Linked DNA regions of Elephas maximus indicus. The protein of the gene in region 3 interacts with the protein of the main gene of each other region in a biochemical or structural test. Links are inferred from orthologs where the notes say so. Each region holds a gene or a part of one and is shown on either strand. Other genes may lie near its edges. The genes, in order: CYSLTR2, ADRB1 and MAGI1.

Region 1 (9,626 bases), on a different chromosome or scaffold from region 3:
TTTCTCTAATGGCTAGTTGTCTTGAGCATTTCCTCATGTGTCTATTAGCTGCATGAATGTCTTCTTTGGTGAAGTGTCTGTTCATATCTTTTGCCCATTTTTAAATTGGATTATTTATCTTTTTGTTGTAGAGGTGTTGGGTTTTCCTGTAGATTTTAGAGATTAGACCTTAGTTGTATATGTCGTAGCCAATTTTTTTTTCCCGGTCTGTAAGTTCTGTTTTTACTCTTTTCGTGAAGACTTTTGATGAACATAGGTGTTTAATTTTTAAGATTCCAGTTTCTACCTTATCTTCCAGTGTTTTTGAATTGTTAGTTATGGTTTGTATCTGGTTTATGCTGTTTATTAAGGCCCCTAGCGTTGAGCCTGTTTTTTCTTTTATGATCTATATAGTTTTTGGTTTTATATTTAGGTCTTTGATCCATTTTGAGTTAGTTTTTGTCTGTGGTGTGAGGTTTGGGTTCTGTTGCATTTTTTTTACAGATGGACATCCAGTTTTGCCAGCACCATTTGTTGAAAAGACTGTCTTTTCCCTATTTAATGGACTTTGGCCTTTGTCAAAGATGAAGTGACTGTAGGTGGATGGATTTACATCTGGATTCTCAATTCTGTTCCATTGGTCAATGTGTCTGTCATTGTACCAGTACCAGGCTGTTTTGGCTACTGTAGCTGTATAGCAGGTTCTGAGCTCAGGTAGTGCGAGGCCTCCTACTCTGTTCTTCTTCAATAATGCCTTTTACTTATCTGGGGCCTCTTTCCTTTCCATATAAAGTTAATGATTAGTTTTTCCATCTCATTAATGAATGCTGTTGGTTTTTGGATTGAGATTGCCTTGTATTTGTAGATTGCTTTGGGTAGAATTGACATTTTCACAATGTTGAGTCTACCTATCCACGATCCTGGTATGTTTTCCCATTTATGTAGATCTCTTTTGGTTCCTGCAGTGGTGCTTTGTAGTTTTCTTTGTTTAGGTCTTTTACAACTCTGGTTAGATTTATTCCTAAATATTTTATTTTTTTAAGGGGTTATTATAAATGGTATTGCTTTCCTGATTTCCTTTATTGGTGTGTAGGAATCCCACTGACTTTTGTGTTTGTCTTGTATCCTGCTACTCTGCTGAATCTTTCTATTAGTTCCAGTAGTTTTCTTGTGGAGTCCTTTGGGCTCTCTATGTCTAGTATCATATCATCCATGAATGGGGATAATTTTACTTCTTCCTTACCAATTTGGATGACCTTTATTTCTTTTTCTTGCCTTACTGCTCTAGCTAGAGCTTCCAGTACAATGTTAAATGGAAGTGGTGTTAAAGGGCATACTTGCCTTTTTCCTGTTCTCAGGGGGAATGTTTCCAGCCTCTTTCTGTTGAGAATGATATTAGCTGTTGGTTTTCTATAGATGCCGTTTATTATGTTGAGGAATTTCACTTCTATACCTATTTTATTGAGAGTTTTTATCACAAATGGGCGTTGAACTTTGTTGAATGCCTTTTCTGGGTCAATTGAGACGATCAGGTGATTCTCTTCTTTTGCTTTATTTATGTGGTGGATTGTGTCGATTGATTTTTTTATGTTGAGGCATCCTTGCATACCTGGTATGAATCCCACTTGGTTGTAGTGTATTATTTTTCTGATATGATGCTGAATTCTGTGGGTGAGAATTTTGAATCTATATTCATGACAGGTATTGGTCTTTTTTTTTGGATGGTGTCTTTGCTTGGCTTTGGTATAGGGTTATACTGGCTTCATAGAATGAATTTGGGAATATCTTTTCCTTTTCTATGTTCCGAAATAGTTTGAGTTGTGCTGGTATGAGCTCTTCTCTGAATGCTTAGTAAGATTCTCCAGTGAAGCTGTTTGGGCCAGGACTTTTTTTTCTGCTTTGCTTTTGGGAGTCTTTTTATTACCTCTTCTATTCTCTCTCTTGTTATAGGTCTGTTCAGATTTCCTATCTTGGTTTGTGTTAGTTTAGGTAGGTAGAGTGTTTCTAGAAAATTGACCATTTCCTCTTGGTTTTCAAATTTGTTGGAGTATAATTTTTCATGGTATTCTGTTATGATCCTTTTTATTTCAGTTGAGTCTGTTACCTTATTTCTTATTTGTTTTATTTGCTTCCTTTCCTGTTTTTCTTTTGTCAGTTCGGCCGATGGTTTTTTGATTTCGTTGATCTTTTGAAACAACCAATGTTTGGTATTGTTGGTTCTTTCTATTGTTTTTCTGTTCTCTATTTCATTTATTTCTGCTGTAATCTTTATTATTTCCTTTATTTTTGTGGCTGTGGACTTCTTTTTTCTGCTCTTTTTCTATTTGTTTGAATTGTAAGGCTAACACTTTGATTTTGGCCCATTCTTCTTTTTTTGATGTATGCATTTATTGGTATAAATTGAACTGTGAGCGTTGACTTTGCTGTGTCCCAAAGTTTTTGTATGATGTTTTTCATTTTCATTCATTCTAAGAACTTTTTGATTCCCTTTTTGATCTCTTCTATTACTCAGTTTTTTTTTAAGCAAGGTGTTATTCAGTTTTCATGTATTTGAGTTTTTTTTCCCTTGTTTTTCATGTTATTGATTTCTACTTTTACAGCATTGTGATCAGAGAGAATGCTTTGCATTATTTCAATGTTTTGGATTTTATTGAGCTTTGCTTTATGTCCTAAAATTTGGTCTATTCTGGGAAATGTTCCATGGGTGTTAGAAAAAGATGTATGCTTTGGAGCTGTTGGGTGGAGTGTTTTATATATATATATCTATGAGGTCAAGTTGGTTGATTTGTGGGTTTTCTTTTCTTTTTATACATTTTATGTGTACTGAGACTTTTTCTCCTTTTTCCTCTGATGAGTGGGTTTGTTAGGTCTCTTTATGGTTACCTTGAAATTTACCCTTACCTTCCTAAGTTTAAACAGTCTTTTATTACTTGATGTTGCCTTAATTTCTCCTCCATTTGAAAGTTCTGTACCTACACTGTTTATTTCCTCTTTTAGAGTTTTGACATTGTTGTCATTTACAGACTGGTGTCTGTGTTTCCTGTTTTAAGTCTATTAGCCTTGTTTTATTATTGAGAGTTCTTTACCTAGGTTAGTATCTGTCTGATGCTGTCCTGTGTGCTAGACCCCAGTTGTTGTTTGATGTTGTTGGTTCTCTAACCAAAGGTCTTCCTTTAATATGGTTTTAAAATTTGGTTTGGTTTTAATGAATTTCCTTAAATTCTGTTTATCTAGAAATGTCCTAATTACATCATTGCAATTGAGAGATTTTTGCAGGGTATATTATTCTTGTTTGCCATTTTTTTTTCTTTCTTTTCATATGTCATCCCATTGTCTCCTTGCCTGCATTGTTTCTGCCAAGTAATCAGAGCTTAGTCTTATTGTTTCCCCTTTGTAAGTGACTTTTCATTTTTCTCAAGCTGCTCTCAGAGTTCTTTCTTGGTCTTTGGTTTGGCAAATGTGAATATGATATGTCTTGGTGAGTTTCTTTTGGGATCTGTCTTAGGCTGGTTCTCTAGTAAGGCAAAACCAGTAAAGTATTTAATTATATAGAGAGATTTATATCAAGTAAATGGGTCACATGGTTGTGGAGGCTGTAATGTTCCTAGTCTGTGGGTTATGATGGAGGCTTCTCCTCATTCACATAGCCACAGGGCCTGGCAAACCCAAGATCGGCAGGTCAGAGAGCAGGGCTCTTGCTCACAGGCTGCAAAGACTGATGAATCCCAAGATCAGCAGGCAAAATGGCAAGTAAACTCCTGGCTTAAGTCCCAAGAATCTGAGGTCAGATGAGCAGGAGCCAGCTGAAAGATCCAGAGGAAGCAAAAGCCCATGAATCTTGCCAGAGTCCACCTATATTGGATGCAGGCTACACCCACAAGGAAACTCTCTTTTGACTGGCTATTCAAACAGATCCCATTGTTGATGTGATCACATTATATCATATCTCATCATGGAAGAGATCACATCATCATATGGCTTCCAAACTACATCATAACTGTCAAACCACTGAGAATCATGGCCCAGCCAAGTTGACACACGACCTTAACCATCACAGGGTCTATCCTATATGGAGTTCATTGAGCTTCTTGGATGGTCAGCTTTTCTTCTTTCATGATACTTGGGAAGTTTTCTGCCAGCAAATTTTCAACAATTTTCTCTATGTTTTTCATTTTATCCCCCTGTTCTGGAACTCTGATCACATGCAAATTTTTGCTCTTTGATTGTGTCCTTCATAATTCTTAGGTTTTCTTCATTCTTTTCTCTGATTTCTCCTCAAAGTAGCGTCCACGTATTTGTCTTCAGTCTTGCTGATTCTGTCTTCCATTGATTCAAATTTTCTCCTAAAACCTTCTACTGAGTTGTCAATTTCTGAAATGTTATCTTTGGATTTCTAGTTGCCGTTTTTGTATTATTTCTAATTCTTTATTCATTTTGAAGTTTTGTTCTTGAGTTTTTTTTCCTGAAGTCTTCTATTGTTTTGTGTTTTCCCTGATTTTGCCTGTTTTTTTTCCATGTTCTCCATGATTTTGTTTGTTTTTTCTTTGGTTTGGTCTGTGCTTTACTTCATCTCTTTCTTAATCTGTTGGAGAGCCCTAAATATTAGTCTTTTGCACTCCATATTAGGTAGTTCCATTCTTTGTCTTCCCTTGGTTGGTTATCTGTTTCTTTCTTTCTTTTTTTGCTGGAGCCACATTGCCCTGCTTTTTTATATGTTTTGGTATTGTCTGCTGCCTCCAAGACATCAAGGTACGGTTTTCTGTATTTATTGATTGTGTGTTTGTTTGTTTCATCCTGATCTTTGTTTTTGTTTTTTTTTATATGTCAGGGTGGGCTGGCCAGGCATGCTTTGCCAGTTGCTCATCATGGACACAATAACTGTCACCACCTTGTCTGGCTGGGCAGAGCACTAGCATGTATTGTGAGCCCACTTTGCTGTACACTTGTTTGGTGAGGTGCTGAGGGCAGACTGGGGGGTGCTGTCTACCCCTGGTGTTGGTCCAGCGATGTGAGAGCATTCACAGTCCTTTGCGAGAGAGGTGGGAGTGTCAGACAGGAACTCGTTCAGCAGCTGGTTGGGTGGCAAAATGGGAGGGGCAGTGTAAGTCCATTGCATTGGTGGGCCTGAGGCAAGCATGCTTTAGCCATGGCAGCACCACAAGGGCCAGTAAGAAGAGGGGGCTGGTGTATGGGGCTAAGTAAGGGAAATAAAGAAAAGAAAAAAAATGAAAGGGTAACTGGAGTGTGGGCTTGGGGTGTACCTGGGGCCAGTGGAAGTGGGAATGAAGCGTCTTACAGGGCTAGCTGGGAGAGAGAAAGAAAAAGAAGAAAGGAAAGAAAAAGAAGAAAGGAAAAAAAATGGCACAACAGGAATTGGTGGGTAGAGTTGGGGCGGACCTGGAGTGATGGCAGACTAGTAGCTCTCTAGCTGAGAGGCACAGCTTTGCCTGTTGGGAAGGGGTTGGGGTGGTGTAGGGGGCTAGGCAAGAGGGAGAAAGAAAGGGAAGAGAGAGAAAAATATTGCACAACAGTAGCTGGTGGGTGGGGTGGGGCAGACCCAGGGTGATGGCAGGCCAGTAGCTCTCTAACTGAGTGGCACAGCACTGCCCATCTGGAAGGGGTGAGGTTGGCATATGGGGCTAGGTGGGAGGGAGAAAGAAAGGGAAGAAAGGAAAAAATAATGGCACGACAAGAGCTATCAGGTGGGGGTGGGGTGGACCCAGATGATGGCAGGCCAGTAGCTCTCTAGCTGAGTGGCATGGTGTGGCCTGTCAGGAAGGGCTGGGGGTGGCATACAGGGCAGAAAGATGAGGAGTGGGAAAGCGTGTTTCTCTGGTTACTGGGTGCTCTGTCTCCTGTTGCGAGCTCTGTGGAGTTACCGTCCTGTACTTCCTGTCCAGGATCTTTGCTGGCTGTGCACCAAGATCTAGTTGTGCTGGACTCAGTCTGGTGGAGGCTGTGGTAGTTTTGGCCCATTAGTCCTTTGCACTAATCTCTCCTTTGTGTCTTTGGTTTTCTTCATTCTCCCATGCTCCTGACGGAGTAAGACCAGTGGAGTATCTTAGGTGGCTGCTCACAAGCTTTTAAGACCCCAAACGCTGCTCACCAAAGTAGAATGTGGAACATTTTCTTTATAAGTGTGTTATGCCAGTTGAGCGAAATGTCCCCCGAAACCATGGTTCCCAGCTCTCAGACCAGTAATTTCATCCCTCAGGGAGTCTGGATGTGTCTGTGGAGCTTCCATGACCTTGCCTTGGACAAGTTGTGCTGGCTTCCTAAACAGAATGCTTTTAATATTTCACCGATGAGTATGATGTTTGTGGTAAGTTTTTGATAATATCTTTTACCAGATTAAGGAAATTCCCTTCTGTTCCTAATAGCTTAAGTGTGCTTTTTGTTTGTATCAAAATCATGAATGTATGCTAAATTTTATTGAATGCTTTTTTGGTTATATATTGAGATAATCATGTATATCTAAAAATTTTCTTAATGTGTTAAATTAATAGGATTTCATGTCTTAAAACATCCTTACATTGTTGAAATAAACTCTAGTAAGTCACGATTTTTTTTACACATATTGCTGAATTCAGTTCCCTAATATTTTGCTTATGATAATTACATTCATGTTCATACCTAAGCTTGACATACAAATTTTTCTTCTTATACTTTCTCTCCTTTTTTAGTTGAGAAGTAATTCTTCTTTTTCTATTATCTGAAACAGTTTGTATGGGTAAAGAGTTATCTGCTCCTTACAGTTTTGGTAAAACTTGTTTCTACAGTCTTCTGAGCATAGTGCTTTCTTGGTGTGTAGATTTTTGGCTTCTGATTTAATTTCTATTACAGATATGGTTGGGTTTGACAGTCATTCATTACCAGCAGTAAGTCTCTACCAGTTATTTGCAGCAATTGTCTGTTCTCATTTTTTTGTCATTTGGATTTATCATTCCCCATCCCTATACCCATTGTGAATGTTTTTTAATATCCCTTCTGGACTCATCTTGAGTTACTTTAGATAATTTACATTTAACCAAAACCAAAAACTCTATTTGATCAACGTTTTAAAATGCATTATCATGAAATTATTCAAAATATTTAGTTAAAATTTTAACAATCTTGACAGTAAACCCTTTCATTCCTAATATGATTTATTTGTGGCTTCTCTTTTTCTTGATCACATTTGCCAGGAGTTTACTTAGACTTTATTTATGTTTACATAATTCTAATTGAGGAGGGGGTTGATTCTATTGTTTTTCTCTAAATTTTATTTTGAATAGTGCTGCAGTGAACATTGGGGTGCATGTATCTGTTCATGTTCTGCTTTCAGGTCTCTTGGGTATATATCTAGGAGTGGAATTTCTGGGTCATATGGTAGTTCTACATTTAACTTTTTGAGAAACCAGATATTTCACCAAAGTGGATTTTCAAAAGGCCAACAAGCACTTCAAAAAAATGTTCAACATCTAATGATTGTTGTTATTGTTAGGTGCCGTCTAGTCAGTTTCAATTCATAGCAACCCTGTGTACAATAGAATGAAACACTACCTGGTTTTGCACCATCCTCACAATCATTATTATGCTTGAGCCCATTGATGCATTAACCATTAGAGACATACTAAGGATGGCTAAGATAAAAGCAAAAACAAACAAAGAAGAATGGAAAATAACAGAGGTTAGCGAGGATGTGGAGAAATTCGAACCTTTATTCGTTGCTGGTGGGAACATAAAATGGTTCAGTTTGCTTTAAATTTTTTCCCTCATTATTCTTGTTATGATGCAGATTCACTAGGATGTATAAAAGAGGAATTTATATTTATTTTTTTGCTCCGAACTCATACGGAGAACTTATACTCAATCTGAGTATTCTTTCATCAATTCAGTTCTTTTAAGCTCTAAGGCCACAGTCTTTTTTACTCTCTAGCTTTTTGGTACACTATAGTCATACTTTATGGGAGACATGCAGTTATGGAGATTTTGCATTATTAAAAATTCATTTAAATCAAAACTAATCTTTGGAGGCGGAGCCAAGATGGCAGAAGAGACAGATGCTTCCATCGAGCCCTCTTTACAAAAAAGACTCAAAAAAACAAGCGAAACCAGTATATTTGTGACAAGCTGGGAACCCTGAGCATCAAAGGTAAGCTTAGACAGTGAACTGAGGGGCAGAGGGAGGAAGAGACCGATCAGAAGCAAAGAAGACTTACCAGACCTGAATCACAGGGAGCCCTCAGGCACCATTCCCAGAGTGGCGACTACAGCGGTGGCGGCGGGCTGGTCCTAGCGTTCAGCTGCAGTTTTCTCAGGGAGAAGCAGCCAGCCACACAGCCCACTCACACCCTCAGAGCCTGAGGAGAAGGGCGCTCTCGGCAAAAGCTAAGTACTTGCGTATATTTTACTGCACCCCCCACCCCCAACCCAGCTTCAGCGGCTGAATCCCTGGGCCTGAGATAGACTCTGGTGAGCACCTGGAGCCGTCCTCCTGGCCTTGGGGAAGGAAAAAATTTGCAACTGGGGGGAAAAGATAATTTGCTAGCTCCATTAACTGGGGGAGCTCAGGACAGAAGCAGCTCCTGTCCAGGCATAAACTGTCCATGGACCTTGAGCACCTTTCCCTTCTGCATGGACTGTGTGGGTCTATTTCGGGAGAATAGGCCCTTGATGGCAAACACCAACCATTTCAGCTGTGCAGTGGAGAGGTGGGTGTTTCACATTTGACATTGCTTTACCTATTAAACAAGGTTCTCAACTACTCACAACAGGGACCTGAGGACTGGTGGCTCCACGTGGGTTGCCTAGCCACCTGTGACAGGGGTCCAGGGATAACTGGTACCTCCCAGTCCTTACAACCAAAAACTTTGGGTGCCCATGGTCCCTCTGCAGAGACCATCCACCAGCACGCTCTAGGGAACAGAGACATGTTTCCTCAGAGACACTTGGGGGTCAGTTCTCAGCCCCCTGCCTTGTTCAGAGCGTGAGCCCCCGCTGCAATCAGATACTGGTATATACGCCAATCACCCCTGCCCCTCTAAGGCTGTATGACAGAGCTGGTACCACACACTTGACATCAGCTACCTGGAAACCTGAGCTGAATTCATACAAGAAAACTGAATGGACTCCTAGACTGATATACCTGATAACAGCTCTAGCCAGCTGGAGAAGGGAAACCAGCGCTCCAAAGGTGAAAATAATCAAGCTAGCTCACTGAAGCAACCCATAGGCGTATACCAAAACAAAACAAAGCAAGCAGCTACGAGACAGTAAGCAAGCATAAACTAATACAATAACTTATAGATGGATCAGAGACAACAGTCAATATCAAGTCACATAAAGAAAAAGGCCATGATCACCTCAACAGGCTCTCAAAACAAAGAATCCAGGAATCTTTTAGATGAAAGTGAATTCCTGGAATTACCAGATGCAGAATACAAAAGTTTAATATACAGAACCCTTTAAGACATCAGGAAGGAAATGAGGCAATATGCAGAACAAGCTAAGGAACACATAGATAAAGCAACTGAAGGAATCAGAAAGATTATTCAGGAACATAATGAAAAGTTTAATAAGCTGGAAAAACCCATAGACAGACAGCAATCAGAAACTCAGAATATTAAAAATAAAATTACAGAATTAGATAACTCAATAGAAAGTCA
Region 2 (10,493 bases), on a different chromosome or scaffold from region 3:
AACTGAATAAGAGTAGAATTTTTGAAAGTTGGTTTACATTTTGTACTGCAAAAAAAAAAAGTTTTTTTTGGTACTGGGAGTCACGACACTAGTCACTTGAAAAAAAAATCCTTTCTCTGCTGCTAATACTTCACCACTGAAATACCTTAGAAGAAATTTATTTCAGAAAATCACATAAACATAAATACTTTAAACAAAAAAAAAAGAATACATCTGAAGAACGGTGCCAAAAAATAAAGCAAAAAAAAACCTACCTTTTTTAATAAGATGACTTGCCAATGGTAAAAGCGCTTAAAAATAGTTCACTGTTACCAGTCTTCTAAATCATATTAATATCTAGTATGAGGAAGAAAGGAGAAACTGAAAAAGAAAGGCTTATTTCGGTGAATTAACTATTTTCGTAGTCACACCTTTCTTTGTTTGAAATGCGATGATAATTGGATAAGACAGCAATAAATGCTTCACAGGTATAGGGTGTTACATGAGATTTCAAGACGCTTTCATATACATTATCTCACTCAATTCACACACAACCCTGTGCAAGAATGAATGACAAGCCCGTTTCCAAGGTGAAGCCACCGCTGAAGGTCAAACAGAAAAGTGACAAAGCCAGGACACAAATCTGGATCTTCTGCCTCCCAGGTCAGAATACTCTCCAATACATCCAAATTTTGAAAAATACTATTTTTGGCTCTGGCGTTGTTCAATGTACTTATCAAGCACACAAGGAAGAGGAGGAGGAAGTGAAGAGGGAGGAAGTGGGGGAAAGAGGAAAGCTTTTGAATTTTCCAAATAGTCCACAAGTTCCTATGATTATACCGCTGTCTTCTGTGTTCACTGTGATCACCGTGGATGGAGTGGCTTGTCCCTGTGTAAACTGTGGTTGTAAAACCAACATATGACCTTAAATCGCAGCCACGGGCGCAAGCTGTTCTTTGATTACTTAGCACTAAATGACTGTTTTAGCAGTTGTGTTTCTCATGTGAAGAGAGATATGTCTTCTCTCTGAAACAGTCACTTGAGCTCTGATTAATAAATTCCCCCACCTATTATCAGTTTCAAGACAATTTTTGCTAGCCAACTGTTTGGCCACGCTTCTTGATGTTTTACTTGGAAATCTGTCCCTCCCCAGGACTTCCCTGGGCCCACCTTCCACCAGCTGTGGAGGCAGTCTACTCCCCTTTCTTTTTTAACTTATGTTCTAGCAAAATCAACTCAAAAATGGAAATGTCTTTGCCGGTACCTGGTGCTGTTGACTTGATTCCAACTCATGGTGACCTCATGTGTTTCAAAGCGGCTGTGATCTTTCAGAAGTAGATCAAGAGGCCTTTTTTCAGAGGCATCTCTGGGTGTATTTGAATAGCCAAACTTTTAGTCAGTAGCCAAACACTTAACTGCCCACCCAAGGACTATATATTATGATGAGCCCACTGTCTTTGAGTCGCTTCCATCTCATAGCAACTCAACAGCACAGAGTAGAGCTGCCCCATAGGGTTTCCTAGGCTATAATCTTTACCGAAGCAGACTGCCACATCTTTCTCCCATGGAGTCACTGGTAGGTTCAAACTGCTGATTTGGCTAGCAGCCAATAAGATAGTACTTTTTATTATGCAACTTGCAGGGCCCCTTTGGAAAGCCTCTTGCCTATGTACTTCTTTATTCATTACTCAGTGTGGTATCTCATGAGCCTACCTTGAATTTGTAAGGTGTTTTGAAATGTTTACATGGAAATGCTGACTAGGCTATAGAAATTTGACTTATTATGACAAATTATAAGCATGAGTGAAAATTATAACTCTCAAAACACTAGATTATTTCTCATATGAGTAAATGTGAAATGGTTTAATATAATTAAAATATAAAATATTTATGAATCAATGCTAAGTGTTAATATTAGGTAAATATTAATAAACATGGAAGATATAAAAATGTATAGGGCAGCCCTGGCTCTTGGCGAGCTTATAATCTACAAGGAAATGCATTTCTGTGAGTGATAAAGCTAGAATTTGGTTGTAGAGGTACTTAAGTTTCTCTGAATTTCTGTTTAAAAAAATACATTAAATTAGAAACATTCAAAACCAGAAGGGTATTCTTGCAGGAGTTCCCAAGCAGGGCTATAAGCATAAAGAGAAAAACCCATTTAAAAATTAAATAACAATATAAGAGGCATCAAAAGGCAAGAGATTGCTAATTGCCACCTAAATGGCAACTGGAAGAGTAAGTCAGAGGAAGGAGAGACCATGTCTCGCAGTCAGGGACCAAAAAAAAAAAAAACCAAACCCATTGCTTTCATGTCAACTTTCTTAGCAGCCCTATAGGACAGAACAGAACTGCCCTATAGAGTTTCCAAGGAGCATCAGGTGGATTCGAACTGCCGACCTTTTGGTTAGCAGCTGTAGCATTTAACCACTACGACACAAGGTTTCCAGCAGTAGGGGGCAGGGAAGAATATAAAAGAAATAAGACTTCAGCCAGGTCTTGAAAACTGAATCTAGTGAGACAGAGGAGGAAGGGATTCTTGGTGGAAGCAATCAGCGGGAAAGAGTTGAGAGCCAAGAAAGGAAAGAGTTAAGGACTGCAGGTTAAGGTGACATGGACAGTTCCAATGAGAGAGAACTCTGGAAAGGCCATTTGGAACTGGACTGTGGAGGACATTGAATGTCAAGTAGAGTTCAGGTTTCTGAACAGAAAAGCATGTTGGTCAACGCCCTGTTTTAGAAATATTAACCCGACTGTGGTATGCCAGAGCAAATCAAGGGGACGGACTAGAGGCAGGGAGATGACATAGAGCCCGTGGCAGGTTCTGGTGTGGCGTGACGGACGTGAGATGGGAACAGGAGAGGTGTGGGTGGAAAACACTGAGAGAGAAGCACACTACCTCTCAAGTGTGCTGATTAGCATCATTGCTGGAGCTCTGTCATTTTCTAAAGTATTGTCCAATGTGTGGGTTCAGAGCTGATTCATTTTAACAATTGTAGATGGAGGATGGAGGGATGGAGGAGTTATTCATTTTGAAGTTGCAACCCCCAAAACATTTAATATCTGTGTAAGTTGATATGTTGAACCTTTTCCCCTTGATCTTGGATTCTCATCTAAACACTAAAAGTATTAGCCAAAGTATGTCTCAAAAAGTCATGAAATGGAGGAATTAAGGGAGATATGGGAACATTTTCTTTTAAAAACAAAGCTAATTCAAGTTCAGCATGGACTCTTCCAAACTTCTCAGTCAGTACGCCTGCAGGAAAGCCCCAAGAATAGCTGGCGCCCCTTTATGCTTATAGCCCTATTTGGGAACTCCTGCTAGAATACCCTTCCGGTTTTGAATGTTTCTGATTTAATGTATTTTTTTATACAGAAATTCGGAGAAACTAGATTTAAGTACCTCTACAACCAAGTTCTGCCTTTACTCACAGAAATGTATTTCCTTCACCCTTCAGGGGCACTTAAGGTTGCCACACTCTATTCTGGTAACACCACTTGACAGAAAGATGGCGCCAGATAGAACGCCTTTCCTCCACATTCCCCACCCCACAGCCAGGCACTCAGAACCTCTTTTCTGGGCAGCATCAATTTCAACTCTTTCTAATCCCCTGGTTATTTTGAGACTATCCCTTGAAGGCCTGAAAGAAGGATGCATTCTCCAGCCTCAACTCTTTCTAGACCCTCTTGTTTCCTGGCTCTCTCTCCTCATCCTCCTCAAATTGGCAGAAGTAGGCCGGTAAGTCCTAGGGGAGGGGCGAATAAACAAATAAATCACTCCCCAGTTGTAGCACTCTGAATACCAAGTTTGGACCTAAAGCATTTCTATATACTTAGATTTAAGTAAGAGAAGGTAGTTAAAACTACTTAACTTTATAAACTTAATAGGCATTGCTTTTTGCCCTTAAGCTGAGTAGCTATGGAAGTCAGTCTCTCTCTACAAGGTAAGAATATAAATTTGGTCCAGAAGTTGATGTTCCTTCCAGATGCTGATTTATTTTTATGCCAATGCTAGAAAGATGTGTGAGCATTATATAACATTTTCACATACCCTTGCATAAAAAATTAAAAGTGGTTTACTTCTCAAAGATGCAGTGAAACATTCTTATTTTTCAGGCCTGAGCTGAGGACATTACCATGGTCGATCAAATTAGAGAAGAGGGTTTGCTGTCGCTCTGATGTTGATGGCAATGCTATCAGTCCCCCCACATAATCCACCCACAAAGGGCAGATTTCACTGATTTCAAACCGATTCCCTAGCAACTCAAAAGCCACTGGTCTATCTTTAAATGCTTTCAGATTTTAAACCTCTTGAGTATTTATGTATTTTCTTTTCATATCCTTCCAAAACTAACCCCAGAGTTTTGAGAAATCTGGAAACTTGGGCAAAGGAGAAAACAACCCTGCAGACCAAGAAGTCTGAAATCGTATTTTTATTCCTTCAACCCAAACTGGCAGGACCTTTTTGTTTGTATTGACCCAGCTCAAATTATAAAACCATATAAGTAATAAAACACAAAATACAGGTGTTATCCCTGAAGGTAAAAAGACTGAAATGTAATTAAATGTGCCCTTTCTTCGTGGCGATGTCATTTACTTTGTAGGTTAATATTTGTGTTTCCTAAAAATCTCTCTGTTTTTATTACAAACACACACGGTTGCATCATACTCACACATTCATTATTTGGGACTGAGGAGTGTGTGTTTTTCCAACTCGGTCTCAGCGTTAGCTGTTGGATGCACAAACATCCGCCTCCTTTCTGCGTCCACTGCACTGGTACAACAGGAGCCGGTTGCAAGAACAGCGCCCCGAGAGCGTTGCTGACAGATGCGAGGTTTGCTCCTGCCACGCGCTCGGCTGGGAAGTTTCCTCTAACCACTGACACCCCTCTCCAATCCCCCGAGCTGACAGGACGCAGGCTGGCTGGGTCCCCTTTTGATGAGGGAAGGGTTTTGCACACACCCTGCTAGGTTGCCCGATCAAGAAACAATCTCGCTGCCAAACTCCTCCAACCTCAGCGGACAGACTGTCTAAGGCGCTCTGGCGCTTCAAGAACACCGAGGTCCCCTCCCGGCTAAAAGGAGCACGCGCTCTGCTCTGCAGGAGACCGGGCACTGGAGGTAGAGGGGAGGCCAGGGGGCCTGGGGGTGCAGAAGAGTTGGGGGAGGCGTTGAAGAGAGCGGGATGTGGAAGAGGGAGCCGGGCGCTGTAGGCAAGAGGGGCTTAGAAGCGAACGGAGCGTAGAAGCCAGTGGGCGGGGGGGGGGGTCACAGGACGGGGCGGGGACGCGGAAAGGAGCCCGGCGCGGTAGCCGGCGTTGGAAGAATGGGATGCAGGACTGGGCGCGCGCAGGAACCGGTGGGCTCCGAGGTGGCGCTCGCTCTGAGCTCTGCCCCCAGCTCCCCCAAGCCACTTAATTGCGGGTGAGAGGGAGGTGCGGGGACTTGGGGAGGGGGGGAACAAGATAGGGGCGTGCCTTGGCCCTGATAGGCTGCAGGAGCCTGACGCGACGCCCAGGGGGTTGGCTTGGACCGGGTGGGAGGGGGGTGGGGGGTGCTGGGTGCCGGAGCTGCGAGCCCGGCGCGCTCAGAAACATGCTGAGGTCCCGGCGGCTGTTCCAGCAGCGGCAGCGGCTCCAGCAGCAGCGGCGGCGGCGGCGGCGGCGACAGCGCTAGGCTTTGGCTCAGGCTGGGAAGGCGCCCGGCGTCGATGCCTCAGGTCCGGCACCGCGACTGTCCTGACCCGGCCGCGACCTGCCTCGGAGCGCCCCGCTGCAGCGGCTTCTGGGGTGTTCTCCAACCACGACCCAGCCCCGCCACACCCCCTGCCCCTGGCCTTCGCAGCTCGGCATGGGCGCGGGGGCGCTCGCCCTGGGCGCCTCCGAGCCCTGCAACCTGTCGTCGGCTGCTCCGCTTCCCGAAGGCGCGGCCACAGCCGCGAGACTGCTGGTGCCGGCATCGCCTTCCCCCTCTTTGGTGCCCCCAGTGAGCGAAGGCCCCGCGCCGCTGTCGCAGCAGTGGACGGCCGGCATGGGCCTACTGATGGCGCTCATCGTGCTGCTCATCGTGGCGGGCAACGTGCTGGTGATCGTGGCCATCGCCAAGACGCCGCGGCTGCAGACGCTCACCAACCTCTTCATCATGTCCCTGGCCAGCGCCGACCTGGTCATGGGGCTGCTGGTGGTGCCGTTCGGGGCCACCATCGTGGTGTGGGGCCGCTGGGAGTACGGCTCCTTCTTCTGCGAACTTTGGACCTCGGTGGACGTGCTATGTGTGACGGCCAGCATCGAGACCCTGTGTGTCATCGCCCTGGACCGCTACCTCGCCATCACGTCCCCCTTCCGCTATGAGAGTCTGCTGACCCGCGCGCGGGCGCGGGTCCTCGTCTGCACCGTGTGGGCCATCTCGGCCCTGGTATCCTTCCTGCCCATTCTCATGCACTGGTGGCGGGACAAGGGCGAAGAGGCGCTCCGCTGCTATGAGGACCCCAAGTGCTGCGACTTCGTCACCAACCGGGCCTACGCTATCGCCTCGTCCGTCGTCTCCTTCTACGTGCCCCTGTGCATCATGGCTTTCGTGTACCTGCGGGTGTTCCGCGAGGCCCAGAAGCAGGTGAAGAAGATCGACAGCTGCGAGCGCCGCTTCCTCGGCGGCCCCGCGCGGCAGCCCTCGCCCGCGCCCTCTCCGACCCCTCCGCGCGCCCCTGCCCCGGTGGCCAACGGCCGCGCTGGCAAGCGGCGGCCCTCGCGCCTCGTGGCCCTCCGCGAGCAGAAGGCGCTCAAGACCCTGGGCATCATCATGGGCGTGTTCACGCTCTGCTGGCTGCCCTTCTTCCTAGCGAACGTGGTGAAGGCCTTCCACCGCGACCTGGTGCCCGACCGCCTCTTCGTCTTCTTCAACTGGCTGGGCTACGCCAACTCGGCCTTCAACCCCATCATCTACTGCCGCAGCCCCGACTTCCGCAAGGCCTTCCAGCGCCTGCTCTGCTACGCGCGCCGGGACGCCCGGGGCTGCCATGCGGCCCCCGGCGACCGGCCGCGCGCCCCGGGCTGCCTGGCTGTGGCCGGGCCGCCACCGTCGCCCGGGGTCGACGACGACGACGACGACGACGTTGGGGCCCCACCGCCCGCGAGCCTGCTGGAGCCCTGGGCCGGCTGCAACGGCGGGGCGGTGGCGGACAGCGACTCGAGCCTGGACGAGCCGACCCGCCGGGGCTCCGGCTCGGAATCCAAAGTGTAGGGCCGGGCGAGCTGCGGGACGCCAGGGCCCCGCCACGCTGCCGGCCTGGGACGCGGAGTCTGCGTCCCGGGGAGGAGGAGCGCCCGGGCACCCTGGAATGGCTTCCCAGGGGAAAGGGGAGAGCTTGTGTTTACTCAAGACCGAAAGCAGGTGAATGCGACGCCCACAAACCTCGTCTGAATCAGCCAAGACAAAAAGAAAAGCCACGCACCGTTGCACGAAAAGGAAAGTTTGGGGAGGGATGGGAGAGTGGCTTGCGGGTTTTGCTGGAGTTCTTTGATGTTTGTGGTTGGCCTTCTTCTGTGTGTGCGGGTAATGCATCTTTAGATTTTTGTTTTCCCCCTCCACGTGGTTTTTTGACACTTTTCGACAAGGACCAGAGTGAAAGTTGGGTGGATAGGGGAAGGGAGAAGCATTAGGGAATAAAAGTATCTCGTTGGCGTCCACCCCATTCCAGGGGAACAGGAGCATTCAGCTGGGGCGGGGTAGGGGACAGCTTGTCAGGGCGTGTTCCCTTTTGCTTTCCAGACAGTTTTCATTTTAACTTCTGGGTAACGATTCCTCCTGTTCTTAAAGCAAAGCGAAAGGATGGATGCAGAAATCGTGTTTCAAGCCATTTTCAGCTATTCTTAGAACAAGCCTCACCTTGCTTAGCTTTCGCAGGGCTGACTGGCTGCCCCCGCCCGCCCCGCGCGCCTCGGTGGTCAAGCTGAGGGCGTTCTACCTCACACTGTGCATATTGCACAGCAAGATGCAAAGCCTTGTTTATATTAAACAGTTTATTTATGTATCAATATTAGTTTGAAGGACCAGGCACTGAGCCTTTGTGACATGTGACTCTGTCCCTTGAAGACGGGACAGAAAACTTTTCAAAAAAGGAAACAATTCTAGTATCAAAACAGATAACTGCACATTTGGGTAAAAACAAACAAAAAAGAGAGTGGCTCAAAATGCCATTTTTGCACAGTGTTAGAAATTTTGAAGTCCACAGATGTTACTTGCACAAAAAGAAATGAAATGTTTTTATGGGGTGGGGAAGTGTCTTAAAAACTAAAATAAAATTCGAACTCTTCTTCTGTTGTCTATTGTTATTTGAGCTAGCGATTTACTGGGAAAATACCTTTTTATACTCTTTTATCATGGTACTGTAACTGTATCCATATTATAAATATAATTATTTGAAGGTTTTTTTTTTTTTTATGTCCAAGTGTCCCCATGAATCTGCTGGTAAAATTTAGCACTCGTGTGTAAATTCTATTTCCTCTTGTGTGTTTTACCAAGTATTTATACTCTGGTGCAACTAACTACTGTGTGAGGAGTTGGTTCACGTGCAATAAATGCCAGTGAAGCACAATCAAGGTTATGTATGTGTGTTTGTAAAGGGTCAGTGATAATGGAAAGGACAGCTTGTTTTGCTCAAAATACAGATGGGATTTCCAAGATAGCCCTTCTAAAAGCTTTTCATGACTCAAAAATGTCTGTAGACCAAAAAGACAAAAAAAAAAAAAAGGCGAGCACCTCCTGAGAGCTGCAGACTTGCCCTACATTTTCACAGGTGGATTCAGGGTGTTCCAGGCTCCTTGTAGGCGTTGTCAAGATCCCATCTGCTGCACTTGACTTCAGAAATGTGAACACCGTGTGGAGCACAGCTCTACTCTGACACACATGGGGTCATCATGAGTCAGAGTTGACCTGATGGTAACTTTTTTTTTTTTTTAATCTTCTAAATAAAGCAATCGGCCTGGTAACAAGGCTGCAACGTTGTACAGAAATATAAGGAGAAAGACTAGTGCTTTCAACAGTAAGTTGCTTCCCTGGAATACGGTAAGTGGTTTCCATGGCCCATTTCTGTTTTCCAGTGGAAAATCACTTCAGTGTTCAGTGTGTGCATATTTCTCCCGTGGCTGTTTAGAGTGAAAAATGCTTTCATGCCTAAGTAAAAAATTTATAGAGCGTCTTCTTAAGTAAATACTTTTTCTCTTCTGTAATTAGATAGATCACTTCAGCAGTTCTGGGTGGGCAGGTCACAGGTAAAAGCCAAGGGTGAAATCATTTCACTTTGTAACGAAATTATCACACCCCACCGGATGAGTTTTTTTTCCCCATGAAATTAGTTCTTAAGGAAAGCATAGTGAAATTCCATCCTGAAACTGAATGTGTTCTCCAAAATAAGTTTAAGTATCTCTCTTTGTATTTGTAAGCTCAGCTTTTCATATTGTGATTGTCCAGTAAAGCTTAGGACATAAAGCTGTGGCTCTTGTCGTGCTGTAACACTGAGCAGACTGTATTCTACTAGGGAAAGTCCAGACTGATGACCCTTTTTTGCAAGGGGATATTTTAAAGACTTGGAAGGAAGCTTCTGAGAAAGGTTAATAATATAGACGTTTTAGAGTCTAGCAGAAGGTTGCATGAACAGTAGCCTTTTCAACAAAAGCTAACCTGTTTGGAAGACCAAGATGGCAAAGCTTGTTTAAAAGTACAAAGCTAAGTACTTAAGGAAATTCATTCTAGAGAATGTAAAATCAGTCTCAGGATGAAATCTCGTTATACCTTCCCTGGGAACTAAATATAAGTTCTTTGCTATCTGCTACCACCACCACCAGGTAAGACACACTTTGTTAGGCATTTTGTCCTTTATTTAAGTTGTACTAGATATTAGCAGATGTTCGCCATTTCGTCCAATATGCCAAAGTACCAGATTAATGCTTCACTTTTCTCATTTCCTGATTATTTACTTACTTTGTCTAGATAATTCTACACATTTAAATAAAAAGAAAATTTCCCCAGCATAAAATGTAGATTTAGGCCTATCCAACCTGAGGTCTTAAAATCTTGAAAGTTCTCTAAACTTTCAAAACACATATGTATCATCGAATTATTTAGCAGATGGATTTAGATTCTTTAAGGAATATTTTGAGAAAAACCCACTGTAATCTTGGGGGCAGTTTATCTGTGTTTCTAGGAAATAAAAAAAAAAAAATTTCTCTGTATTCCCCTGAACCCTCAATTGAGGATTACAGAGATTCAAAGACAGACCTTGTCGGAGTTTCCGAATACCCTTAAAAACTACTTTTTTGTTGTTTTCGAGAGCAGACATTGATAATAGGAATGTGGGGACCGGGGCTGCGAATCCCAGTGCCAGTGGGTGGAGAAAACCGTCAATTCTATGTAAACTGGTGAGATTCTGCACAGCAGAACCAAGGGACAGGAGCTGGGCAATGAATATGCAGAACGGCACCCTTACTGCTGATGGGATGGTGTAGGGTAAAGTACCA
Region 3 (10,332 bases):
CATTGATATTGTTAGGAACCAAATCACAACAACATTTGCCTCTGGAGGGGTTGGGGGAAACTGACGGGAAAGAGACCTGAGGGAAATTTCCGGGGTGATGAAAATGTTCTATATCTTAACTGGAGTGATGATAGCATGAGCGTATACATTTGTCAAAACTCAAACTATACACTTAAGATCTGTGCATTTTACTGTAAGTTAATGATACTTCAATAAAGTATATAAAAACATATATATATTTTTTCTTTTTTTCCTAGTTTAGGCACCTTCTGAAACACAACAATCTTCTCCATTTAAAATGAACCAACTCCAACCCTGCAGATCCACTTAGCTGGATTCCTTCACAATCCAGTCCTGCGTCTAATACCATTTGCTAGACTATTTTGGCGCGTGCATCTTTCCAGGGAGATGCCATAAGGTGGAAACAGCAGAATCTTCTCCCACAATAAGACTGTGACATTTCCATACAGATAGCACGCAGAGTGACCCGCATCACTGGCAGTGGTTAACTCAAGGTGTAGACAATACAGAAATAACACTTTTCTTTGCCACATACCAAATATGGACCTGCCTGATATTAGGACACAGTAACGAAGACACAGTAAGTGCAGTTCTGTCATGTCACTTAAATTACATTCTCGGTATAAAAAAGGGAACAACAGCCTGATGAAGTGGCTTCTAGTGCCATCTTTACTAGCAATGAAGACATAAGAAGAGCTAACTGTTGTCTGTGTAATTATTATGAGAAGTAATAGCTTTCACACTGTAGTGGATTCCAGGCCATTCGGGATTCCTCATCAACATTTTTATTCTACTCCATTACAAGTAATTTTATATACACACACAGCTGCTGTGAACATTATGTGCACACAGAATAGTTCTAAGAGACTATACTTCCCTTTGAACCCACTTCTAAACCCACCTGATTAACTCCCCAACCCTTCCAAAGCTCCATAATGACGCAGCCCTGGGACAATGCCTCCTGTCTCTTTTGATGGCCAGTGAAGAGAGGAAGCCCAGCTATATGCAGCATCGGGCACACTGAAAACACGTCCCCATGGGCCCATCGGACACCACCAGACACCCCACTAGGTTGGCCTATCCTTTCTCCACCCCTTTCTCCAAAATGCCTGCATCCATTCCCATCAAATGTCCTGACACAGTATTTTCCCTACAACTCTATCAAATCCTGATAATTCAGGTCCCTGACATCAAAAGTTAACCTTACAAAGAAGTAAGTACTCAATTCAATTCAAACATAACAATAACTCACCTTTACTGAACACTCAGTACATGCCAGGCACTGTTTTGTGCACTTCCTGTACTAGTTTACATAACACCCAGAAGAAAGCCATTTTATAGATAAGGGAACACCCTCAGAGGTGGGTCTCAAGCAAAGGCTGGGGAGAAGGGCTAGGAATGAGGCACAGTCTCTCCCTGCAGTAAGCTTACTACCTGGGACAAGAGGAGTAGGACCCAACTTGTAGCTCTAAGTTAAAAACCACAAGGTACACATCAAGGGAGCCCAGAGGAAGAAGGATTTGTTCATCCTGGCAGGAACCTGGAAGGCTTCTTGGAGGAAGTGTCCAAGTGGAGATGAGGACATAAATGGCCAAAGATTTTCATAGCTCAGTGTCCACCCCTCAGCTCCCAAAGCTACCAAAGACTTAGCTATCCCCTGCCCCCTCTTCCCTTTCCTGGAACAAGCCTGTTTCCAAGAGAAGCCCAGCCCAGGCCTTCTTTCCTTTGACACATTCCTCCAGCTGCTGTCCACCGACAGACACATGTGGGACCTCTTTACCATGCTCAACTATGTCACCTCCTTTGGTGTTTTCAGGGAGAGAACTGCATCATGGTGTTTGGTCACACAAGGGATGCCTTTTAGAGACTCCAGTCTTCTCTGCTGGACTGATGTAGGAACAGCCCCTTGCTGTCCCAAACCAAGATGTAAGACACCCCTCTTCCTCCTCCCCCAACCAACTGCATCTTCCATCCTCTAAGAGGTAGACCCCTCCAGGCTTCTCAGGGGAAAATCTAGTCTACTTCCTGACACAAGTTAGCCCCTCCAGTCCCTAAGGGTCATCCCCCAACCCCTACCTCCTACCTCCTCAGTGCTTAAGGCTCTGCAACTCAAACCAGGCTTTTGGTAGGGGTGTGACCTTGGGCAAGTCACTTAACCAATGTCAGTCCCGGTTTCCGTATCTGTTAAATGGGGTTTATAAAAACAACTCTTTCTTAGGATTGTGAACCAGAGTGAAATCATACAAGTAAGGCAGCACCCAGAGCCTAGCACGGAACACAAATCAATGAATGGTAGCTATCGTTATTATAGAGGATGATGATAATAATGACAGCGTAAATTGGGTCTAGATTTGCGCTAAGAGTAATACCCCCTCGCCCCGCCCGGTGCTGGGCCAAACGGTGGAGACACATGCGTCATTCGGCTGTGGGGTGAATGCAGAATCTTCAGGCAGCGGGCTTAGGAACCGCCAGGCGAGGGGTTGTGGGGTGAAGCCGATTTTAGGGTGGAGGGGATCCAGTAAACTGAGGACCCTTCCTTCCTTCATACCCACTTTCCAGGTCTGGAAACAGAAAAATGGCAGAAGAAAGTCAGCAGCTGCGCCCGCAGCACTTCTTCCCCCAAGGAGCTGCTGGAGCGTCCACCTTTGCTCCAGCCTCAGTTCCCCAACTCGCCTCCAGGTGCAGGCGAGGCTGCGCTGCGTTTGGTGGCTGAGATAACAGGCTGGCAACCAGGCCCGCGACACGTCTCCCCGGTTCCCTGTTCAAACCCAGACGCCTCTTCCAAAGCAGGTGGGCAAACAACCTACAGTCTCGCAACAACTTTGTGTATGTCTCTACTGCAGGGCACACAGCCTCAACGTCCCCTCTCGGGTTCGCTGCGAGGAGGAACGCGGGAAATCACGGTTAGGGAGACACCCCACAGGCCGTGCAGTTTTCCAGGGGCGCCCCCAGAGGCGCGCCCGGTCTTACCTTGTCTGACGGCTTTGAAGGTGACGGCCTCCTTGCAGCTGTCGACGACTCCCAACACGTCATAGCGGGGCAAGCCGGACACCCGGATCCCCTGCACCTCCAGCAACAGCTCCCCCTCGCCCAGCCTCGGACCCTCTCCTCCGCCAGGAAGCCCCGCCACCTCGGCCGCGGCCACCGCTCCGACGTACGGAAACTCCCCGTTCTCCGCGCCCCCCAGCACCGTCACCCCCAGCTCGCCCTGGGGCCCCCGCTTCACGGTGCATTCGTGAACCCTGCTGGTCCAGTGATTCTTCTTCTGGATCACTTTCGACATGACGAGGTACACCCCTCCTCCAAAAAATAAAATAAAATGAGAGACAGGTGCCCCCCCAGCGCAAGCCTCCAAGCCGCCGGTGGTTCATAGGAGAGCCACCTCCTCCCAGTAACGCCCCTGGAGAGGAACTTGGCGGCCTCGCTCGCCTGCACACACTCGCGCACTCAGGCCATCGTCAAACAAACTTTCTGGGCTTCCCCACCGAGCCTGCACGGGCGCCCGCGCGCTTTGTTTGCGTTCCGGTGCCTCTCGGTCCACGTCCGGGCGCCCGATCGCGCTCGCTCGGACCAGAGTCCACTCTACGCCGCTCCGGGTTTTTTTTTGGTTTTTTTTTTTTTTCCTTCCTTCCTTTCTTTCTTGCCTTTTAGAAATGCGGAGCCTCCTCCTTGCCTCCCGCCCGGCTCGTCCTTCCTCGCTGGCCGGCTGCTCCCGAGGTGGGGCAAGCCCTGCCAGCCCAGTTGCAGGGAGCCCTGGAGACGCGGCGGCGCAGCGGCGCTGAGGGGGAGGACAGCAGGGAAGTGCCCGCGGCCCCTTTAAGCAGATACAAAGGCTCGGCTTGTTTTGTTACATTTCATTCTATTCCGCGCCGCCGAGCGCAGCGAAGCGGCCGGCGGGAGGAGACGCGCGCGCATGCGCCCCGCGGCCGCCTGCCATCCGGCCCGCCCCGCCTCTCCTTCCCTGAGCGAAAGAGTCCAACGGGCTTCCCGTTGGGTCCTAAAGCCGAGCCTGAGAGCAGCCGACTGCCGCCCTCCTCCCCTTCGCACACCGCTGAGCGTCCTCCTCCTTTTCTTTCCGAGGCGTAGACCCAGCAGCTCCTTTTAGGGTTCAGGTTAAAGGATGGTAATTCGCCTCCTACTTTCCAGAACTTAAAAAATATATAGGAAGAGCGCATGTATTTCACTTAAACTGAAACTTTTGAAACATAAAGAATCTGACTTCGGGATTTTAAAACCGCTTCAAACAGGTGGGGGTTGGGGAGGCTCACACACTCCCCCCCGCGTTCACCCTCACCCCCGCGCTCACACACTCACCCCCGCGTTCACCCTCACCCCCGCGCTCACACACTCACCCCCGCGCTCACCCTCACCCCCGCGTTCACCCTCGCGCTCACGCTCACCCCCGCGCTCACCCTCACCCCCCCCGCGCTCACACACTCACCCTCGTGTTCACACTCACCCCCGCGCTCACCTTCACCCCCCCCGCGCTCACACACACACCCTCGCGCTCACACTCACCCCCGCGCTCACCCTCACCCCCCGCGCTCACACACTCACCCCCGCGCTCACCCTCACCCCCGCGTTCACCCTCGCGCTCACGCTCACCCCCGCGCTCACCCTCACCCCCCCGCGCTCACACACTCACCCTCGCGCTCACACTCACCCCCGCGCTCACCCTCACCCCCCCGCGCTCACACACTCACCCTCGCGCTCACACTCACCCCCGCGCTAACCCTCACCCCCCCCGCGCTCACACACTCACCCCCGCGCTCACCCTCACCCCCGCGTTCACCCTCGCGCTCACACTCACCCCCGCGCTAACCCTCACCCCCCCGCGCTCACACACACACCCTCGCACTCACACTCACCCCCAAGTTCACGCTCACCCTCACCGCCGCGCTCACCCTCATCCCAGCTCCCACCCTCACCCCAGCTCCCACCCTCACCCCCGCGCTCACCCTCACCCCGGCGCTCACCCTCGCGCTCACTCACCCCCGCGCTCACACATTCCCCCCCGGGCTCACACTCACCCCCGCGCTCACACACTCACCCTCGCGCTCACACTCACCCCCGCGCTCACACTCACCCCCGCTTTCACACACCCTCGCGCTCACACTCACCCCCGCTCTCACACTCACCCCCGCGTTCACTTTCACCCTCACCGCCGCGCTCACCCCCGCGTTCACACTCTCCCCCCGCGCTCACACACTCACCCTTGCGCTCACACTCACGCACTCACGCTGGCCCTAAGCCTCCTGCCGCCCTCGCCTGTGGCTGTGGATCACCTAGCCCGCTGTGTCCGCCCCCGACACTCCCAGCCAATTTCCCTCTAAACCCCTGAGACCCCCGGGAGGCGCGCCCTTGCTCCCCGCCGCCGTGTGCCCGCGGTTTCGCGTTCTGGCGGGGGATCTGCCAGGATCCCGGGAGCTACCAATCTGGGATCCCTGTGAGCCTCGCACGCCCCCATACGCCGTTAAACTTTGGAGCCAACGTCATAGGACACAGGGAAAAATACAGGCGAGGGAGAGAAGCCCAGGGGCTGGAGGGGTTCGGACCTCCAACCCTCGTTTAAATGGCATCTAGCTTTTTAACTGTCCTTCCAGAAGAGACTTCTGGAGTCTGTCATTTGCCCTGGACTCAAGGTACTGGCGGAGCCGGGAAGCCTGGGGACCCGCCCCGAGGCCAGGAGATAAGGATCGCCACGGAGTCTGGGGCATAGGCGCGCAGCCGCCACCTCTCAGAATTCGAGGCCCCAGGTCGCTCCACCTCGGGAGCCGCCCAGAGGCGGGGAGAGCGTGTGTCTGTCCGGTGAGGTTACAGAACCAGCTCGGCCGCAGGCAGGAGAAACACAGTCGCCACGAAGGCTGCCCTATCCAAATACTCCCTTGATGGGCCTGGGCGGTTAAGGACTTTCCCAAGCGGTTTCTTTTTCCTTTTAATGATTTATAACTTGATTATTCATCTTTAGTCACAGGAGAGAGTCCAAATGCTAAATAAGGGAGGTGAGTTGAGGGGACTGAGAGAGTGGTATGCCCCAGGGGTCAGGTTGAGAGCTGGGCTCCGGAGTGTTGTTTCCCGTGGTCCACTCTGTGCGACCTTGGGCAAGTTCCGTGGTCTCTCAGAGCCTTCATTTTCTGCCCTGTAAGAAGACTGTAACAGTACCTCACGGGGTCCTTGGGAGCGTTACATGGGAGAATACTTGTAAAGCAAATACTCGTCAAGTGGCATATAATAAAAGTATATTATTAGTAGTATTAATACTCAATTTGGAAAGGGAAAGGAATTCATTTGAGGTTTCAGGTTAAATGATGATAATTCATTTACTTTCTAGAACTTAAAAAATGTGTAAACATATATTTAAATATCTTAAAGCACTTTTTTAGGATTCTATTTTATTATAGGGAGCCCTGGTGGCACAGGGGTTAAGAGATTTGCTGCTGACCAAAAGGTCAAATACACCAGCTGCTCCTTCGAAGCCCTATGGGGCAGTTCTGTTCTGTCCTATAGGGTCGCTATGAGTTGGGATTGACTTGAAGGCAATGGGTTTTATTCTTGCTAGAAGTCCCTGGGCGATGCAAAGGGTAATGCACTAGGCTGCTACCCTTAAGGGTTGGGGGTTTGAGTCCACCCCAAAAGCACCTCAGAAGAAAGGGTTGGAGATCTTTTTTCCGAAAAATCGGTCATTGAAAACCCCATGGAGCATACATAGTTCTACTCTGACACACGTGAAGTTGCCGTGAGTAGGAACTGACTCGACAGCAACTGGTTTGGTTTATCCAAGAAAAGAATGTTGATGCTTCTCTCTTGGAATATCCAGAACTTAAAATCTTATTGCCTCCTTGTGTTTCTGAAAGGAGGTGGCCAATTTCCCGTGGCCCTCCTTGGTGAGGGGCGCGTCCTTCATCTCCAGCCTCTTTTCTCAGAAGGAGGTCCCCAGGTGGCACAAATGATTTGTGCTTGACTGCTAATCCACTAGCCGCTTTCTGGAAACCCTACAGGGCAATTCCAGTCTGTCCTGTAGGGTGGCTGTGAGTCGGAATTGACTTGACGCCAACAGACTTGGTTTTTGGTTTGGTACTAACATAAAGGTTAGTGGTTCGAACTCACCCAGGGGTGCGGTGGAGGAAAGGCCTGGAACCTGCTTGCGTAAAGACTACCGTCAAGAAACCCCAATGAGGCAGTTCCACTCTCTAACACATATGGCCGCCACGAGTCCAAGACGATGGGTTGGTTGGTTGATTGTCTCAGAAACAACTGGTTTGTTCCAAACCTGTGGAACAGAATCTTATGGGGAGCTTCAGTAGGATCCTAAACTCAACCCCAGGTCCAGCCATCCCGAATGTCAGGGAGAGGGTCTCTCATCTGGATTTTTAAGGTGCCCCCAAGTGGTGCTGTTACACAATGTTGAGGACCACGGCTCTAGCACCATAATTCCTAAACAATTTTTTTAGTATAAAGCTGTGTATGGTTCATCTTCCTCTGGAGTGTACGCTCTGGGAGAGCAGGAAATTTGGCGGTTGTGTTTACTGATGTATTCCCAGTTCCTAAAACAGTGCCTCACTCAAGCAGCTTCTGTCTCATGGTTACCCCATTGTATTTCAGAGTAGAACTGTGCTCCACAGGATTTTCATGGCTGTGACCTTTTGGAAGCAGGTCACCAGGCCTTTCTTCTGAGGTGCCTCTAGGTGAGTTCAAACCACCAATCTTTAAGTTAGTACCCGAGCACTTAACTGTTAGCACCATGCAGAGGCTCCTAGAACAGTACTTGGTACCTAGTAAATGCTCATGTATTGGTTGAATGAATATTCCCAGAAAAATGCACATTTTCACCTCCCATGTTAGAGGGGAATCCCAGATTACCTTACAAATTACTAGTAAGCTTGATCCTGCGGGTTCCGCCCACCCCCTCCCCCACTCCATAGTCCAGTAAAGACTGATTGCTAGCTAGGAATTCCTCCACCTCCCTAGAATCAGCACCTCTGGACTCCCGCCCCTGCATGGGTAGTCTAGGGGCTGTGCAGGGCCATCTGGACTCCCGCCCCTGCATGGGTAGTCTAGGGGCTGTGCAGGGCCATCTGGACTCCCGCCCCTGCATGGGTAGTCTAGGGGCTGTGCAGGGCCAGGTGCTTCTGGACTCCTCCCACTGTGGTGCTGCCATCTTCCTTCTCCAGGATTCCAGGTGTCCCTGCACCTAAGAGGGAAATGGATGTGGCCTTTAGCACACTTCAGGATTTAAATGTGGAGTAACCCCAGGAGAAGAAGTACATTGGAGTACAGAGTGCAGGATGGAGAAAGGAATAGGGAGACAGGAAATAATTCAAGCCTCCGAAGCAGCCAAAGCTGCCGGTTTTGAAGCATTAGTTATATGTTTGCAAACTCTCTTGCCCTTTTCTCACTTCTGCTGTTTTTTCTGTTTCAGCTGATCTGGTTCCTACGTCCCAGACCGGAAACCCCTTCAGAGCAGAAATCGTATCTGCCCTACCCAACTTATGAATCCTCAGAACCTAAAACAACCCTTGATGGAGACTGTGCTCCATACGCACTTACTGAATAATTGAATGAATGGATGAAATTTGATGTTAAACTGTTTAACTTGTGGCCTTTGACGCAAAGCCAATTTTTATATTTAGTGGCTAGAACCGAGGTATTTGTAGGTTATTTTCTTGGAAGAGTTTGAAGTGAATTTTTCTTGAATAGGTATAAGGTGGGACCCTGGTGTCCAGGTATCTCTCATTTATGCCATGACTTTGGCAGTACATTCCGATGGGGAGAATAATACCGTGAAGTTCATAACTTTGACGTTTACCTGTGTACCAGGATCATTATGGGTATCATTTAATCCTCACAGCAGCCACATAAGGTAGATGTTATAACTGACCAAGAGTGTTATGAACTGAACTGTGTCTCCCCAAAATATGTGTTGAATTCCTGGTCCTTGTACCTGTGGATGTTTGGAAATGGATTTTTCTTTTGTTATGTTAATGAGGTCATACCAGAATACGGTGGATCCTAAACCTAATCACTTCTGAATTAGAAAAAGACCCAGACACACGCAGGGAAGGCAGACACCAAGGAACTCCAAGGAACACCAAGAATCCCCAACAGACACCAGAAACTAGGAGAGAGGCTCACAGAAGGAATTAATATCGTCAAGACCCTAATTTGGACTTTTCGTCACCAGAACTGTGGGAAAATAAATTTCTGTTCTTTTAAAGCCACTCACGTGTGGTATTTCTGTTACAGCAGCAACTAAGACACTGACTTTGCAGTTAAGGGAGGGAAGTGAAGAAATACCCAAGGTCACAGAGCTTGGACATGACAAAGCCAGGATATGAACCCAGAAGCATGACCCAAAGCCCCTGCTCTGAGCCACTTCACTATGAGATGTAGGATATGGGCACCTACTTTTAGCACATTTGGTAAGAGTATATTTTGGCTCTTGAGTCTGCCACATAGTGTATGCACAGTAATTAATCACCCTCTTTGTCTCTTCCCTTTAATCTGAAGGAATACAGTATTCCACTCAGGAACCCAATTTCCTGTTCCCCATCTGTGGGCTCTGAAGATGGAATAATTTCCTGGAATGTAAAGAGGATTAATTTGCAAACATGTCTAACGTGTTTGGAAATCTGTGGGCTGTGGCACAGGTGAAGAGGCAAACGTTCTTAGACCGTTATTGAGGAGGTATTTCAACAACACTCTTAATAAACAGTGGATGCAGATGAAAAATAAACTGTGACACCCAACAAACTCTCAACAGATAAAGATCTTGTTTTCATTCAGTAGTTCTACTTGGAGGGTTGAAAAATAAAAAACACAAATATGAAATGTGTATTTCTCCTCCTTGTGCCAAATTTGTTTCTTTCCAAAGTTTTCCAGTTGTGATTAAAGAAGTATATAACTGGTATTTAAGATGGTATTTTACCTCATTTTTCTGAAAATATGAGGATGGAAATAAATTGTTCAGCTGTAGGGCAAAGAAAGAAATAGGTTATATTTCTGTGTTTGAAGAATGCTAGCAAGAGGCATTAATCAGAGATAGGGAATTTAAATACTTCGTATACAATAAGGTAACTGACTCCAAACTGGTGGTTTAAAACAGAAGACAGGTCGGGGAGGCTTAACCCAGTAGTTCAGGTAGAAGGTAGATAGCAAAGCAACATTTTCATAATTATTTCCTGGAAGCATTTTTATGTTTCACTTGATAACTTGTTCCTTTCCTCATCAGGGAGGCAGATAGGTGGTTTCCTCTGCCCACGGTATTCCTCCCGTTAATACTTCCAACTAAAAAAAAAAAAAAAATTTTTTTTT

Evidence for each region.
Region 1: the proteins of MAGI1 (region 3) and CYSLTR2 interact in a test that uses a peptide from one of them, tested with the Homo sapiens proteins (2 studies listed by IntAct, with this or other methods). The link is inferred for Elephas maximus indicus from reciprocal best matches to the Homo sapiens genes MAGI1 and CYSLTR2.
Region 2: the proteins of MAGI1 (region 3) and ADRB1 interact in a test that uses a peptide from one of them, tested with the Homo sapiens proteins (2 studies listed by IntAct). The link is inferred for Elephas maximus indicus from reciprocal best matches to the Homo sapiens genes MAGI1 and ADRB1.

The regions. Positions count from the first base shown.
Region 1 is NC_064832.1:30,343,570-30,353,195, reverse strand, and holds the start of CYSLTR2 (cysteinyl leukotriene receptor 2), read left to right. Parts: upstream 1-5,541; 5' UTR 5,542-5,599; intron 5,600-6,193; 5' UTR 6,194-6,301; intron 6,302-9,626. UniProt on the Homo sapiens protein: Receptor for cysteinyl leukotrienes. The response is mediated via a G-protein that activates a phosphatidylinositol-calcium second messenger system.
Region 2 is NC_064834.1:64,996,435-65,006,927, forward strand, and holds ADRB1 (beta-1 adrenergic receptor), read left to right. Parts: upstream 1-5,726; 5' UTR 5,727-5,829; coding exon 5,830-7,218; 3' UTR 7,219-8,590; downstream 8,591-10,493. UniProt on the Homo sapiens protein: Beta-adrenergic receptors mediate the catecholamine-induced activation of adenylate cyclase through the action of G proteins. This receptor binds epinephrine and norepinephrine with approximately equal affinity.
Region 3 is NC_064838.1:71,686,601-71,696,932, forward strand, and holds the start of MAGI1 (membrane-associated guanylate kinase, WW and PDZ domain-containing protein 1), read right to left. Parts: upstream 4,175-10,332; 5' UTR 3,305-4,174; coding exon 2,992-3,304; intron 1-2,991. UniProt on the Homo sapiens protein: Plays a role in coupling actin fibers to cell junctions in endothelial cells, via its interaction with AMOTL2 and CDH5. May regulate acid-induced ASIC3 currents by modulating its expression at the cell surface.